2 linked regions of the Stegostoma tigrinum genome follow. The protein of the gene in region 2 binds, or shares a complex with, the protein of the main gene of each other region. Links are inferred from orthologs where the notes say so. Each region holds a gene or a part of one and is shown on either strand. Other genes may lie near its edges.

Region 1 (7,751 bases), on a different chromosome or scaffold from region 2:
TTGTGGGACACTTTTGATGTGGATGTACACTTAGGCAAGGAATCATTGATACTTAGCCTCACAAATATCTCTCATACTGCAAAAGGGAGAATAGTAAAATGATAAAGTTTTAGTTATGTGTTTCTTGCTTAATTTTCTCAAATAAATATTACATCTAGTGACTGATTATTTCACCAAATTTCCTTTTATGTGATAAAATCAAAGAAGTCACTTGTGAAATGTTTGTTGACACGTTGACCACCATGTTCAGCGTACCTCAACAAATTATATCCAGCAACAATCTTCAGTATACTAATGTATCCTTCTAAGACTTCAAATCATAGGGTCATGCAACACGGAAACAGACCCTTCAGTCCAACTTGTATATGCCAACCATGTTTCCCAAACTAAAAGAGGACTACTTGCCTGTGTTTGGCCCATATCTCTCAAAATCTTTCCTATTCATGTACCTTTCCAAATGTCTTTTAAATGTTGTAACTGGACCTGCTGCTCCCACTTCCTCTGGCAGTCCATTCCACATACAAGCTGCCCTCTGTGTAAAAAAAGTTGCTTCTCATCTCCCCTTTAAATCTCTCTCCTCACACCTTAAAAATACCCTCTAGTTTTGAACACCCCTACTCTAGGAAAAAGACCATTGCTATTGACCTTATCTGTGCCCCTCATGATTTTATAAACCTTCATAAGGTCACCCCTCAACTTCCTGCACTCCACTGAAAAACAATCCTGCTTATCCAGCTCCCTTGTAACTCAAGCCCTCCAGTCACATGTGCAGGAAATGGGGTATTCAACTTATTACCTTTTCCCTTAACCAACGTCAATTGAAATGTTCTTGCAGAACACTGCATTGCCTTTAAAGTTGATAATAAATTAACTCTTGCATTGAAAATGTTACTCTAGATGTTTGAGTAGCTTTAGTGACATCACAATTTCATCATGACTGCAAAAATTGAAGAAGGGTAAGGAGTTGAGACATTGGCATTCTTATTCTGATGTCCTTTTATGAGAAATTGGAAACTTTATACTTCTGTTTAATTTGTGTGTTTTTTTTGAATTACGACATTTTAAAGAACAATATAGATGCATTCATATTTGCTCACGGAAAGTGGGTGTTGCTAGACAGGCCAAAATCTATTAACCATCCCTAACTGACCTCAACAAGTTGTTCTAGGGGTATCAGGCTACCCACAGTGCAGTTAGTAAGGGCATTACTAATTAAAAACTTTCTATCCCTTACATTTATTCAGTGTACTGGTGTCCACTGCACTTAAAGGTAGTGAATCCCACAGATTCCTGATCATTTGATACGGTGCCTCACGGGAGGCTGCTGAGCAAGGTGAGGGCCCATGGTGTTAGAGGTGAACTACTGGCTTGGATTGAGGATTGGCTGTCTGACAGAAGGCAGAGAGTTGGGATAAAAGGCTCTTTGTCGGAATGGCAACCGGTGATGAGTGGTGTCCCGAAGGGTTCAGTTTTGGGGCCGCAGCTGTTCACCTTATATATTAATGATCTGGATGAAGGGACTGGGGGCATTCTGGCGAAGTTGGCCGATGATACAAAGATAGTGGACAGGCAGGTAGTACTGAGGAGGTGGGGAAGCTGCAGAAAGATTTAGAATGTTTAGCAGAGTGGTCCACGAAATGGCTGATGAAATTCAATGTGAGTATATGTGAGGTTTTGCACTTTGGAAAAAAGAATATAGGCATGGACTATTTTCCAAATGGTGAGAAAATTCAGAAAGCAGAAGTACAAAGGGATCTGGGAGTGTTGGTCCAGGATTCTCTAAAGTTTAACTTGCAGGTAGAGTCCGTAATTAAGAAAGCAAATGTAATGTTGTCGTTTATCTCAAGAAGGCTGGAATATAAAAGCAGCAATGTGCTTCTGAGGCTTTATAAAGCTGTAGTTAGGCCCCATTTAGAATACTGTGTCTAATTTTGGGCCTCACACCTCAGGAAGGACATACTGGACCTGGAGCGTGTCCAGCGGTGATTCACACGGATGATTGCTGGAATGGTAGGTTTAACGTATGATGAATGGCTAAGGATCCTGGGATTGCACTCATTAAAGTTTAGAAGGTTGAGGGGAGATCTAATAGAAACTTACAAGATAATGTATGGTTTAGAAGGGGTGGACGCTCGGAAGTTGTTTCCGTTAGGCGGGGAGACTAGGGCCCGTGGGCACAGCCTTAAAATTAGAGGGGTAAATTTAAAACTGAAATGAGATGACATTTCTTTAGCCAGAGAGCGGTGGGCTTGTGGAATTCATTGCCACAGAGTGCAGTGGATGCCGGGACGTTGGATGCCTTCAAGGTGGAGATCAACAAATTCTTGATCTCAGAAGGAATCAAGGGCTACGGTGAGAGTGCAGGGAAGTGGAGTTGAAATGCCCATCAGAGATAGTGGGAACTGCAGATGCTGGAGAATTCCAAGATAATAAAATGTGAGGCTGGATGAACACAGCAGGCCAAGCAGCATCTCAGGAGCACAAAAGCTGACGTTTCGGGCCTAGACCCTTCATCAGAGAGGGGGATGGGGAGAGGGAACTGGAATAAATAGGGAGAGAGGGGGAGGCGGACCGAAGATGGAGAGTAAAGAAGATAGGTGGAGAGAGTGTAGGTGGGGAGGTAGGGAGGGGATAGGTCAGTCCAGGGAAGACGGACAGGTCAAGGAGGTGGGATGAGGTTAGTAGGTAGCTGGGGGTGCGGCTTGGGGTGGGAGGAAGGGATGGGTGAGAGGAAGAACCGGTTAGGGAGGCAGAGACAGGTTGGACTGGTTTTGGGATGCAGTGGGTGGGGGGGAAGAGCTGGGCTGGTTGTGTGGTGCAGTGGGGGGAGGGGACGAACTGGGCTGGTTTAGGGATGCAGTAGGGGAAGGGGAGATTTTGAAACTGGTGAAGTCCACATTGATACCATATGGCTGCAGGGTTCCCAGGCGGAATATGAGTTGCTGTTCCTGCAACCTTCGGGTGGCATCATTGTGGCACTGCAGGAGGCCCATGATGGACATGTCATCTAGAGAATGGGAGGGGGAGTGGAAATGGTTTGCGACTGGGAGGTGCAGTTGTTTGTTGCGAACTGAGCGGAGGTGTTCTGCAAAGCGGTCCCCAAGCCTCCGCTTGGTTTCCCCAATGTAGAGGAAGCCGCAACGGGTACAGTGGAAACGTCAGCTTTTGTGCTCCTGAGATGCTGCTTGGCCTGCTGTGTTCATCCAGCCTCACACTTTATTATCCTGAAATGCCCATCAGCCATGATTTAAATAACGGTGTGGACTTGATGGGCCGAATGGCCTTACTTCCACTCCTATGTCTTATGGTCTTATGGTTTATTTGCAAGACGTAATCTATAAGTCTATTTTAAACCTGTAACCTCTAAGCTTGAAAGCTTTTTCTTTGTAGGAACAGTTTGGGATTGTCCACAGGGCAATTTCAAATACCCACCTTAAAAAATGTTCTGCAGTCGCTTGCATTTATTTCAGAGAGAACACTGGAGATACTCAGCAGGTCTGGCAGCATCTGTGGAGAGAGAAATAGAGTTTTGAGTCTGTTATGACAACACAACATCAGATGCATCCTATGGACATCAGTGCGCAGTTCCTGCATGCATCCTAAGGAATATGACATATCAAAACATGGACCACTTTCTCAATGGTGCAACTTGTGCATTCAAAGCTATGAGCTATTATGGCACACATGAGCTGCATGGATTCTTTCATTCTTAGCCCACAACTGCACATAGCCTGAGAAAACTGTGACATGTACAGGAAAGCTGTTGCTGTTTCACAAGGTGGGAGCTCTTTTCCAATGACTACTGAAGGCTTGCAACAGGATTATATCTATATTCCCTCCTCTGAAGGGAACTGAGCAGAGCTGTCTTTTGCTTTTTTTAAAAAATATTATTTTGATTACAGCGGCATCAATTATAATAAAGTAAATATTTCATCTATCATTAATCAAATGTAAGTGACTATTTGATTTCTATTTCACAGTAAAGAATTTATGAGGTCGCTTTAATTTGGAATTATTACATTTGACCTCCAAACATTATCATTTATAAGTTTAGATTGTACATTTCAACTTAATTGGAACTTTTTTTGTATTCGGATATCTTGGACTAAAGCGAGTTGAATACAGTTGTATTAATTAAAACGTTTTCAGGCAAAGATACGGGCATTGAAGCATTGTGTTCTGCACCTCACGATAAAATAAGCACTGTTCCTCGTGAAATATGATAGCTCTGAGCTTTTGTTTGGCCGAGCCACTGAAATTAAAACGCATACAGGGACACTATTGGAATTAAGTCTGAGTGCATTTCCTACATCATTTCTCTATAAGGGAAGTAACTTTTTGCGTTAATATCGCTATAATTTTAAACTTTAATTCCGCAAAATGTAAATTTCTTTCAAGAATTTGCATTTTGTCAAATTGCATTTGTCAAGGAGCTAAGATAACGATGGTTTCAATATTATACTTCGCCAGTCTAAAAATGCGTTGATCATGCAAGATAATCAATTATGGAAAAGACTTCGGTACATGAGGTTTTACGTTTATATTCTGCGTTTGGAGATCCTTTAGTTTTTGTCTTCGAAATCTCCATGCTGACTGATTTAAATAGCAGATTATTTACCTCGGTTCAAGTGGCCTCATAACTCCTCTATAACAAAGTGTAGAGCTGGATGTAACTCCCATTTGCTAAAGCCTTTGATAGCACTTAATCTAGACAAATCGGAATACGCTAAGATATTTTGTGCGTAAGGAGGCTAATTTGTCTCGCCCCTTCTGATCTCATTTACAAACGAAAACTACATGAAGGCTGCTTCAGCAAGTCCGAGGAAGTGCCTTTTGTCTCTCCCCCACCATCCTTCGACGTGAGGCAGAGTTGAATAACCTAAAGTTACAATCGAGTCTTATTTCCATTTTGGTTTCATCCACTTAAAAGCTAGGTTATATGAGTAACCATTCATTCAAATTGAAGTGCGAATCAGAAGTCGTGCAGGCATAGTTCACTCTCTTGGCTTTAAGTTTGAGTACGAAGGGAGGTTCAGCCCATGCTGATTCTTGGAAAGCTAGCCGGTGATTGGGTGAAAAATGTAATAACATGCGGCGGTGGAGTGAGGAGACTGGTGGTGACAGACAGCACCGTATCATCACCTCGTTTTAGACGAGTGCAAGTGTAGATAAGTCCAGTTGATTTGATGTGTCCTAATGTGCAATTTTAGGTTACTTGTGCAATCTTTTTTATAATGCAATGCATACATACTTGCAATGATTGTGGAGCTGACCAAGATATTCAAATTCGTTTGTCGTCATCTCTGCTGGTAAGTAAGGAATGCTAAATAAATAATCAAGATAGAAAAATGTGAACGTTTAGAGAGGGGTTTGAATTTGTTTTTAAATCTGGATGGTATTATAGTTAGTAACATGATTGTGCAGCTTTGTTTTTATCTGGTAGACTAAAATTTGGACAGTTTTCATTTAAAAATTGAAGAGATTTCCATTTTCAGTCATCTATAAGCAGACCATTAAATGATTAATTCATTTCACTTGCTAACATGATTTAGCATATGCATCTATTACAATTTATGCCTTACCCCTTGGTTTTTATATGCAGGTCATTAAAGTATTTAATGAAGATGGCACTAGCCAGACATTGGAGGTACCAAATGACATCATAGCTCGTGATGTCTCTCAGTTGTTTCTCATGAGAAGTCACTGTGTCAGTGACAATACCTGGACACTCATCGAGCATCTTCCTCATCTTGACATGGGTAAATGTGAACATTATGCTTATGAATTTATCTACATGAAGCTGAATTTTTCATTTTTGCTTAGCTTTGTTGCTGTTGATTTTATTTAAAGCCATGTGTTTCAAAGAAATCTTTTTACTCCATATATGCAAGTTGTATGTGTTTTGCATGCATGTTCCGTTCTGTGGCTCATGGTTTATTGTATCATTCCTTTCTTCAACTTAGTCAATTGTGCAGTTGCACAGGCCCAATTTTAGTGCCTATCACAGTGCATATAGAAGCATCTCTTTGAAACAGTTAGCTCCAAATTAAATTGTCCAGTTGTCTGCAGGTAGTCAACTACTATTTTCATAGAGGCAGTCCCTAAGGTAATTTCCATGATAGCCTTTCAATGAGCTTCTAATGATGGTGAATTGGCTGACTGCTTCATATTCTGCAAGATTTTACTTTGACTTTCAACAAAATCTGGTGAGGTGCCAAGTTGAGAGTAGAAACGATCCTGTCGGTAACTCACTTGAAGGACTATGTTAAAATAACTTATGTATTTTGGCAAAATACCCTACTTGTCACTATCTTAATACTCTAAAAACTACCATTTTGATTCAAAAATGCTTCCGATTTGTTGATTAAAGCTAATACTTTCTGTGAAAGTTATCCACATTTTCTGCTGAGCATTGCTTCATTAATGGGATCCACTCCACTTGTATTTATTATTTTATTGCACTGTTGAGGAACTTCTGAAATCTCCATTCGTGCATGATTTCCCTTTTTAATGATAAAAAGTGTTGATTTGAAATTTTAGCTTTGCAGCTGACCTAGACTCAATGGCTTTATTTGGAGGTCACAGTTCCACATGTTCTCTCAACTTTGTGAGGACTTTGCACTTAAGCTGAGATGTAACACATCACGTTGAGCAGTATCAATGGAGTGAAACTGAACTAATGTATCAAATCAAAGCAAATCGAAGAAAGGTTTATGGAAGCTGGAAATCTGAAACAAAAACAATCCGCTGAAGAGATGCCTAACCTGAAGAAGTTACCCTCCTCCCTCCGGACCAACCTCAGGGAATCTCTCTCCCATTGCAACTCTCTTGTAATCTCTTCGGCCTTGAAACTGCTCGACCATGTCCTGAAGCAAACCAGGTACCACAGCCACATCACCTTCCTCAGCACCTGCCTACGGAACCGGATCATCCCCAAGGGACTACAGTCTACGTTTCAGTCTTCCCAATTTGGCCCCAACCGTGACCACCTCTACACCCAGAATATTAGACAGCCACACTGAACCTTGCCGCATCTTCACCATCCCCCCAGACCTCCCACTGACTGAGGACGAACGGTCAGTTCTTAGCAAGGGGCTCACCTTTGTCCCCCTACAACCACACATCAACGAATACCAGTCACGATTGGACATAGAGCAGTTTTTCCGCCGTCTTCGCCTCCATGCCTACTTCTTCAATCGGGAACCTAACCCTCCCTCCACCGACCCCTTCACCCGCTTCCAACACAAGTCCTCCTCCTGGACACCACCCCCAGGCCTCCTACCCTCCCTCGACCTCTTCATCTCTAACTGCCGTCGAGACATTAACCACCTCAACCTCTCCACCCCTCTCACCCACTCACCCACTGCATCCCAAAACCAGTCCAACCTGTCTCTGCCTCCCTAACCTGTTCTTCCTCTCACCCATCCCTTCCTCCCACCCCAAGCCGCACCCCCATCTACCTACTAACCTCATCCCACCTCCTTGACCTGTCCGTCTTCCCTGGACTGACCTATCCCCTCCCTACCTCCCCACCTATACTCTCTCCACCTATCTTCTTTTCTCTCCATCTTCGGTCCGCCTCCCCCTCTCTCCCTATTTATTCCAGAACCCTCACCCCATCCCCCTCTCTGATGAAGGGTCTAGGCCCGAAACGTCAGCTTTTGTGCTCCTGAGATGCTGCTTGGCCTGCTGTGTTCATCCAGCCTCACATTTTGTTGTCTTGGATTCTCCAGCATCTGCAGTTCCCGTTA
Region 2 (7,957 bases):
TGGGAGCTTGCTGTGCACATATTGGCTGCCGTGTTTCCTACAATGACAACAGTGACCACATTTCAAAAAATGCTTCACAGTCTGTAAACCACAATTAGTGATGTCTAGTGGCCGTGAAAAGTACAATATTAATACAACTCCCTTTCTCCAGGACGAAACACGTAGTATCCAGAACTCCAGTGAAACAGCTCGTACACCTGAATTCTCACAGCAAATGGAATTTCTAATACAAAAAAAAATTTCAGGGCAAGTGCCGGTCAAACCAAACACATAATTCACAATATTTTTGAAACAAAACAATGGGGTTGAGGTGGAGGGTAAACTAAATAAAGCAGCAGCATTTAAAAGCTGGATTTCAAAGGAGTATCAACAAAAGTGTTCAATAAAATCTATTTGACACATTTTGCAGTTGTGAAAGTGACTCTTATTTACTAGCCAGCTTGCCTTGAACAGCAAAGAATCATCTCCTGGATGACAATGTATTCTCACCCGCTGCGGTCAGATCTGACTGTAATCTATACTTCCACAGGTGAAAGATCTTCGCCCACAATAACACTGTCGCCACATGATAAAAAGAACTCTTTAAAATGCACATTTCTGTCTATAATATTGGGATAACTTTAAATTCTATATTACAGCATTCTCTAAAATAATGGGGCACACTTCATAAGTGATATTTTCTCCCATGCTAGATATTTTAAAAAGATGAAACATTAGTAAGGGGTGGCAATAAATCACATCACAATGTGTTTTTTTAAAAAGTAGGAATGAAAGTCTTTCTTAAAGTCACAGACACAACTTTCACTAGAACCCAGTTTACAAAAACATTTTAATGATCCAACTTTTGACACAAAGAGCCACCATATAACCATGAATCAGTGAAATTCAACTTTATATTACATGGAATCTCAGGCTGTGCCTAATGCTTGAGGAATGCTCTCTTATCCATTTTCAATGCACTGACCGAACAAGTCAAATCTCCTTTTTATTACATGGGATTTTCACTGGTATTCCAGGGATTCAAACAACTTTTGAAAAGTGGATCAGTGATCATGTCCAGATTCATACACTTAGCCAAGAAATCAACATAATCACTAACGTTAGAATGAAATTGCGAGATAAAAAAACTCACACAATGACAGAAAATTCTGGAAAAGAGGTATTTTAATACCTGCAGTGTTTTATAACAAATCAGTATTTTCAAGGTTCCGATATGGAAAGCTCAGAGTTTTCACAAATTAATCTCATACTCTTTCCAAATCAAACCATCACAATCTGTCAACCTGCATATTAATCCCAATGAGGAGCTTCAACATTAATGTCTTTTGAAACGCACACAGACAATTAAAATTGATGTTTTCTCTCCTTAAATAACCTGCATCTGTCCTGCCTTCTCACCAATGTGTTTACTCTGACTGTAACATTCAAAAAAGATCTTCAGTTACAAATCCAAGCAAAATTGGGAAATCGGTTTGAATGTCAGAATGGTAAAAGAACAACTTCACATTGGAAGAAATGAGGTTTTTGTTTTAAAACTGAACATTAAAGAAAACAGGGCCTGTCCAGGCTTCATCCCCGACTCTCGATTTTAGCTGCAGCTACATTCGTGTGAGGTGTCGCCCCTACCCTCTCTAATCCAAACCCAGGCTTTGGGATGCACATTAGGCCGTAAACTACAGCAATCTGGGAGAAGAGGTTGACAGGACTAAATTTTCACACAAATTAGCAGAATTTTAGAAGGAAAAATGCACCCGCGTCAGAATAAATTATCTGTAAACCTTAATGACTGTGAAATTACAAAGCTTGATTTAGTTTGAAGGTTTTTAAACACTTACCTTTTGGTTCTGTTGGGCCAATATTGGCCAGGATGAAGAGGGTCACCATGGCTGGTATCAAAGTCTTCCTCCCCATCCTGGAACTGGAATTCTCCTGGTGCAGATCAAAATCAAAACCCACGGTCCCCACAAGCACACAGGCCTTGGATATAACTGAATAAAAACCAAAATAAAACTCAGGGATGTACAGCAAGCCTAATAAAAGTTGTTTTTGGGACAGCACTTCGAACTGGCAGCTTTTTTCAAAAGAAAGTAATCTCTCAAAGAATAACAACTATTTTAGGGACCCCTCCAAATGAAATTTTCTTGAATCGTCTCTGAACAAATATTAAATAAAGTGATCTTGACAGTTAAATTGGAACAAATTCTTCATTCTGTCTATGAGGGTGGGGGAATAATCTGTATTTTTTCAACCCGTGTCCACAAAATCTTTTTTGGCGAGATTGTTGGGGAGAACAAGGAAATAAAAAAAAACTCCCCTCTCCTTTATTTTGTTTCTGGTGGATTAATTTTTCCACAGCAGCAGAAGAAATCTTCCTCAATTGTCTTCTGCAAAATAAAAGCTCTGGAAATCACATTGGAGTTGTAAAGCTTGTAGCTTCACTGCAAAGTCCCCAGTGCAAGAAAGCCCTCATTTCCTTCTCTTTTATATCATATTCAAACTCCTTTCATATATTTATATTTCCTTTTAACTCGATGATATCACGGGAAGATGAAACTGTCCGCTTTCTTCCCCCACATTACCAGTCCTGAGGAGAGAGAATTAAAAATAAAATCCCTTCAGGAAACAATCTGTCGAGAAAACGACAAACATAAACCAAAATATCCTCCAAGACAATTTTCCTTGAGCCGATATCAACTTGATTTTCTTTGGCTTTCTGCCTAGGCTTCCTCTTCTTTTTTTTCCTCTATTGCAAAGTCGCCCAAAGAAAACATCAAAGAGATCACTAATTCACCATTGGAACAAAACAAAAAAAATGTTTAATAAATTATCAGAACACCAGGCGCCAAACTGCATAACAAAATCCTTCAAGGTATTTTCCCCTTTTGGCTTCAACACACTCCAAACTGATTTTCTTTTTTTCCCAATTATTTTTTTCCTCTTTCTCTTGTGTTTCTTCTTTGTAAAATAAATTGAAATGTAATTGTTCTTTTTTTGAGGGAGGGGAACTGGTGGACAAGCAACAAAATAAAAATACGATTTTGAGGAGCAGAGGAGCCTTGAACCTTAAACCACGCGCAAACTTCTTCTGGCTGTGTCGAGTAAACAAGCACCGCCAGCCCAGTGAGGAGAGGGAGGGGAGAGCAAGTGAGCCTCGACAGTCACAAAAATCTGAACCAGGAGTTTACAGTTTCATGGACTGGACTGTTAAAAACGGAGAGAGACAGAGAGAGAGCGAGAGAGCGAGAGAGAAATCTAAAATCTGGACTGTGGATGCGAGAAGATAAAAAAGAAAACAGGTTTTACAAGACACATTGTTTCGGAGACATTGAAAATGTGAGCGGAGCCACCTCAGATTGGATTGGACTGAAGGCAAAAGAACAATTCAGAGACGAGATAATATTTATTCGAAAAGGGCATTCTGAAATTTTACACAATGTAAGGTAGCACGATAGCAATGTTTGATGAGTATGTGTACTTTTATTTAATCCTGCATTTCAGCAGATGCATTAATGTTCTTTAATTCCCTTCAATTTTCTCCTTATCAGACCTCCAATTCCTTCATAAATTTGGGCCCACTCAAAACTTTCTGATCTGTATCCCAACTCGCACCAAGTCCTGTTTACCCATCACCCCAGTGGGTAGCGGCCTACATTGGCATCAACTTTGAAAATAATTAGATTTAAAATTCTCATCCTTTTTTTCAAAGTCCTCTATCACGGTCCCCTCCCTTTTTGTATAATCCATTTCTGTAACGAGGAAAGAAACTAACTTGCTGTCCTTGCTATTCTGGCCTACATGTGACTCCACATCCATAATAATATGGTTGACTGTTTTCTGCACTCTGAAATGGCTAGCAAGCCAATCAATTTAAGGGTAACTGATCCTGCCATCAATGCCCACATCCCAAGAATGGATAGTATCGCCTAGCCCCATGACGATCTTTGAGATATCTGATTTTGGAATCCTGACCTCTTACAAACCCCTTTTTCTGTTGCTCCACTATTAGGAACTGTGCTCAGTTGTTCAGGTATGAAGCCCTGAGATTTCTTCCTAAATCTCACTGTACCTCTATCACTCTCTCACCCCGTCTTTTAGATGAAATTGTTTGCTCATCTCTTTCATGCAGTCTGAAGTGCAGCACTTTGAGGTGTATTCATATGTCAAAGGTATCATTATTACTGAACATTGTAGACAAATTAGTGAATTTTTTTTATTCATTCACAGGATTCATTCAACATTTATTGACCGTTCCCTAATTGCCCAGAGGGCAAATCACCATGGGTCTGGAGACACAAGTCAGCCAGAACATGTAATGGGTATGAATGAACCATATGGACTTTCCGCCCCTGATAATTAACAATGCTTTCGCGGAGTCTGAATTCCAGATATTTATTGAATTCAAATTCCATCATCTCCCATGGCAGGATTCAAACCCGGATCTGAAGAGCATTAGATATAATAGGAACTGCAGATGCTGGAGAATCCAAGATAACAAGGTGTAGAGCTGGATGAACACAGCAGGCCAAGTAGCATCTTAGGAGCAGGAAAGCTGATGATTCCGGCCTAAACCCATCCCTGCCTCTTTAACTTGTCTGTCTCCTCTCCACCTATCATCTCCTCTATCCATCTTCGATCTGTCTCCCCATCTCTCCCTATTTACTTCGGAACCCTCTTCCTCTCCCCCATTTCTGTTGAAGGGTCCAGGCCTGAAACGTCAGCTTTTCTGCTCCTAAGATGCTGCTTGGCTTGCTGTGATCATCCAGCTCCACACCTTGTTATCTCTGAAGAACATTACCTGGGTTTCTGGATTTACAGTTCAGCAGCAATACCTCTAGGCTATCATCGCCCCTATCAATTAAAAAAGGAATTAGCTAAAAAAAACTTGAATATTTATAAGCACCTTTCGTGACCTCCTTCACCTCAATACATTTTACAGCCAATTAAGTACCTTTTGGGGTATCCTCAGCTTTGTCACTGTAGCCAATTTAAACTTGTTAATTGATCATATGCTCGTATATTGTGCAATGTATTCTCAAACTGGACTTTTTAAATGTTTTGGTATCTGAAAAAATATTTATTCATTCTGTGCTAAATTTTCACTTTTGAATAACGATATATTTTTGGCATTTTGCGTATCAAGTGTCAGCATTGAGCTATCAGCCAGGAATACCATTTGTTAAATACTCCACTCCAACAAAGTGCCTATTGCCCCAGCTGAAAAGAGTTCCCCCTATTGGATCTGTGTGGTATTTTTCAGATTTTACACCAGCCGAAGTGCCTTGAGGAAGGGTCACCAGACCCAAACGTTAATTCTGGTTTCTCTTCACAGATGCTGCCAAACCTGCTGAGCTTTTCCAGCTTCTGCTTTTGTTTATGATTTACAGCGTCCGCTGTACTTTTGGTTTTTATTCAGTGTATTAAAAACTCTATTGTTTCTGTCCTAATTCGCACCAAGTCCCATTCACCCAAGACCCATGTGCTCACAGAACTACATTGGCTCCCAATCACAAAATAGCATAATTTTAGAATTCTCCTTCATGTTTGCCAATTCCTCCATGTTCTTACCTCTCCCTTTCTCTGTAATCTCCTCCAGCACAAAGACCCACTGAGATATCGCCATACATCAAATTTTTATCTTTCGTGGATTAACAATTTTAATCGTTTCACCATGCATTCAGCTGTTTTGACTTTGAACATTTGACTATCCTGCATAACCCACCTCAGCTCCTCTATCTTTCTCTCCCCCATCCTCCTTTAAATAAAATACTTAAACCTTACTTCTTTGACCAAGCTTTTTGTCCCTGTCCTAATAGCTCTTTGTATGGCTCAGGGTCAAATTTTGTTTCCATATGCATCGGTGAAGTAGCTTGAGATTTTTTACCACATAGAGGCACTATAAAAGTGGAAGGTTTTGTTGCTAAATTCCCTCCCAGCAGCATGGTCATGGTTTGAGCCACATGAACTGTAACAGCTCAAGATGACAGCCCATCAATACCTACTCAAGAGCCATTGGCAACACAATGGCTCAGTGGTTAGCACTACTGCCTCACACTGCGAGAGACCTGGATTCAATCTCAGCCTTGGGTGATCATCTGTGTGGAGTTTTCTCTGGGATCTTCCCACAGAACAAAGATGTGCAGTTAGGTAGATTGGCTATTGCAAAATTGCCCGTAGTTTTGGGATGTTTAGGTGAGACGGATTATCCATGGGGCAATGCAGGTTTACAGGGATAGGGTAGGGGGTGGGACTGCATGGATGCTGTTCAAAATACTGTTGTTGATTGGCCTGCTTCTATGATTTAAGAATAGGTAATAAATACTGGCCGTGCCAGGGATGTCCCTGATTCCATAAGCAAATTTTGGGTGGGAAGGTGGCAAAAATGTAAATGTTGTAGAAATTACAAACTAAGGCCATTGACCTGGATGACTAGACATGACAAGACAGACTGTTTCATTTTTACCCGCTGTGACCAAGCCACTGTGGGTTCCCTGTCGCACCCTCACTATCAACCTTCCCATAAATGTTACAAGCAAGGGTCTGAATAGAAGTTACTTCTTCAGTAAGGCAGCCACAGTCAGTAAAACTCAGTCTGATGATGAGAGTCTCCGAAACCATGGTAAAATGATGTGAAAAATACAATTATGAAATACAATCAGAGATAATGGGAACTGCAGATGCTGGAGATTCCAAGATAATAAAATGTGAGGCTGGATGAACACAGCAGGCCAAGCAGCATCTCAGGAACCTCCACAGCCTGCAACCCCAGAGGAGACAGCCACCCTGAGCCCTGCCGAATCTTCACCATCCCCCCAGACCTCCCACTGACTGAGGACGAACGGTCAGTCCTGAGCAAGGGGCTCACCTTTGTCCCCCTACAACCACACATCAACGAATACCAGTCACGGTCGGACACAGAGCAGTTTTTCCGCCGTCTTCGCCTGCATGCCTACTTCTTCAACCGGGAACCCAACCCTCCTTCCACTGACCCCTTCACCCGCTTCCAACACAAGTCCTCCTCCTGGACACCACCCCCAGGCCTCCTACCCTCCCTCGACCTCTTCATCTCCAACTGCCGTCGAGACATTAACCGCCTCAACCTCTCCACCCCTCTCACCCACTCAAAACCAGTCCAACCTGTCTCTGCCTCCCTAACCGGTTCTTCCTCTCACCCATCCCTTCCTCCCACCCCAAGCCGCACCCCCAGCTACCTACTAACCTCATCCCACCTCCTTGACCTGTCCGTCTTCCCTGGACTGACCTATCCCCTCCCTACCTCCCCACCCACACCTTCTCCACCTATCTTCTTTACTCTCCATCTTCGGTCCGCCTCCCCCTCTCTCCCTATTTATTCCAGTTCCCTCCCCCCATCCCCCTCTCTGATGAAGGGTCTAGGCCCGAAACGTCAGCTTTTGTGCTCCTGAGATGCTGCTTGGCCTGCTGTGTTCATCCAGCCTCACATTTTATTATATTATGAAATACAAACTTGCTGGAATTAGCTCATTAACATTCTGTAATTAGGTAGCACTTCTATGACAGGACATGACTGTAATATTTTGATTAATTTAAAGGCGCACATTTTTGCGGGAATTAATCTTTAATCATCTGGTAGCAAATGTTTCCAGGCTAAACATCATTTGACTCCCAATAAGGCAAATATGTGTACGCACCCTTCTTAGCGCCAAAATATTAAACAAGTGTTTTACTCTGCTTTTACAGACAGTGCTTAGACAGTGCTTCACCAGCACACACATGCATGCTCTGCAGCGTGCTTCAACTTGTTTCTTCTTCAAGCTAACCCAATGAATCCATGCTTAGTGGGCTGCAGAACTACAGAGAAAAAGAAGGTTGCAGGTTCTATACAAACCTTTTCAATCTTATCCAGTGTTTGCAGCAAGAGCTTTCCAATTATCTTAGCATTCCAAGCCAGCTGGAAAGAAGAAGGAAACAATCGGGCAAT

The links. Proteins that work in one complex are often made in the same cells at the same time.
Region 1: the proteins of insulin receptor-like (region 2) and growth factor receptor-bound protein 14-like are in contact, whole or in part, in a crystal structure (PDB 2AUH), measured with the Homo sapiens proteins. The link is inferred for Stegostoma tigrinum from reciprocal best matches to the Homo sapiens genes INSR and GRB14. Residues at the interface, in NP_000199.2 of Homo sapiens: Leu1065, Arg1066, Ile1069, Glu1070, Lys1112, Arg1116, Arg1163, Met1180, Arg1182, Tyr1190, Lys1192, Gly1193, Gly1194, Lys1195, Gly1196, Leu1197, Leu1198, Pro1199, Val1200, Trp1202, Ser1207, Leu1208, Lys1209, Asp1210, Gly1211, Gln1235, Asn1242, Glu1243, Leu1246; in NP_004481.2 of Homo sapiens: Glu373, Asn374, Ser375, Leu376, Val377, Ala378, Met379, Asp380, Phe381, Ser382, Ser386, Val388, Ile389, Glu394, Val398, Ala399, Glu401, Glu402, Gly403, Leu404, Trp406, Arg407.

What each region holds. Positions count from the first base shown.
Region 1 is NC_081360.1:62,661,006-62,668,756, reverse strand, and holds the start of growth factor receptor-bound protein 14-like, read left to right. Parts: upstream 1-4,719; 5' UTR 4,720-5,234; coding exon 5,235-5,309; intron 5,310-5,602; coding exon 5,603-5,759; intron 5,760-7,751. UniProt on the Homo sapiens protein: Adapter protein which modulates coupling of cell surface receptor kinases with specific signaling pathways. Binds to, and suppresses signals from, the activated insulin receptor (INSR). Potent inhibitor of insulin-stimulated MAPK3 phosphorylation.
Region 2 is NC_081383.1:6,991,426-6,999,382, forward strand, and holds the start of insulin receptor-like, read right to left. Parts: upstream 3,083-7,957; 5' UTR 1,912-3,082; coding exon 1,836-1,911; intron 1-1,835. UniProt on the Homo sapiens protein: Receptor tyrosine kinase which mediates the pleiotropic actions of insulin.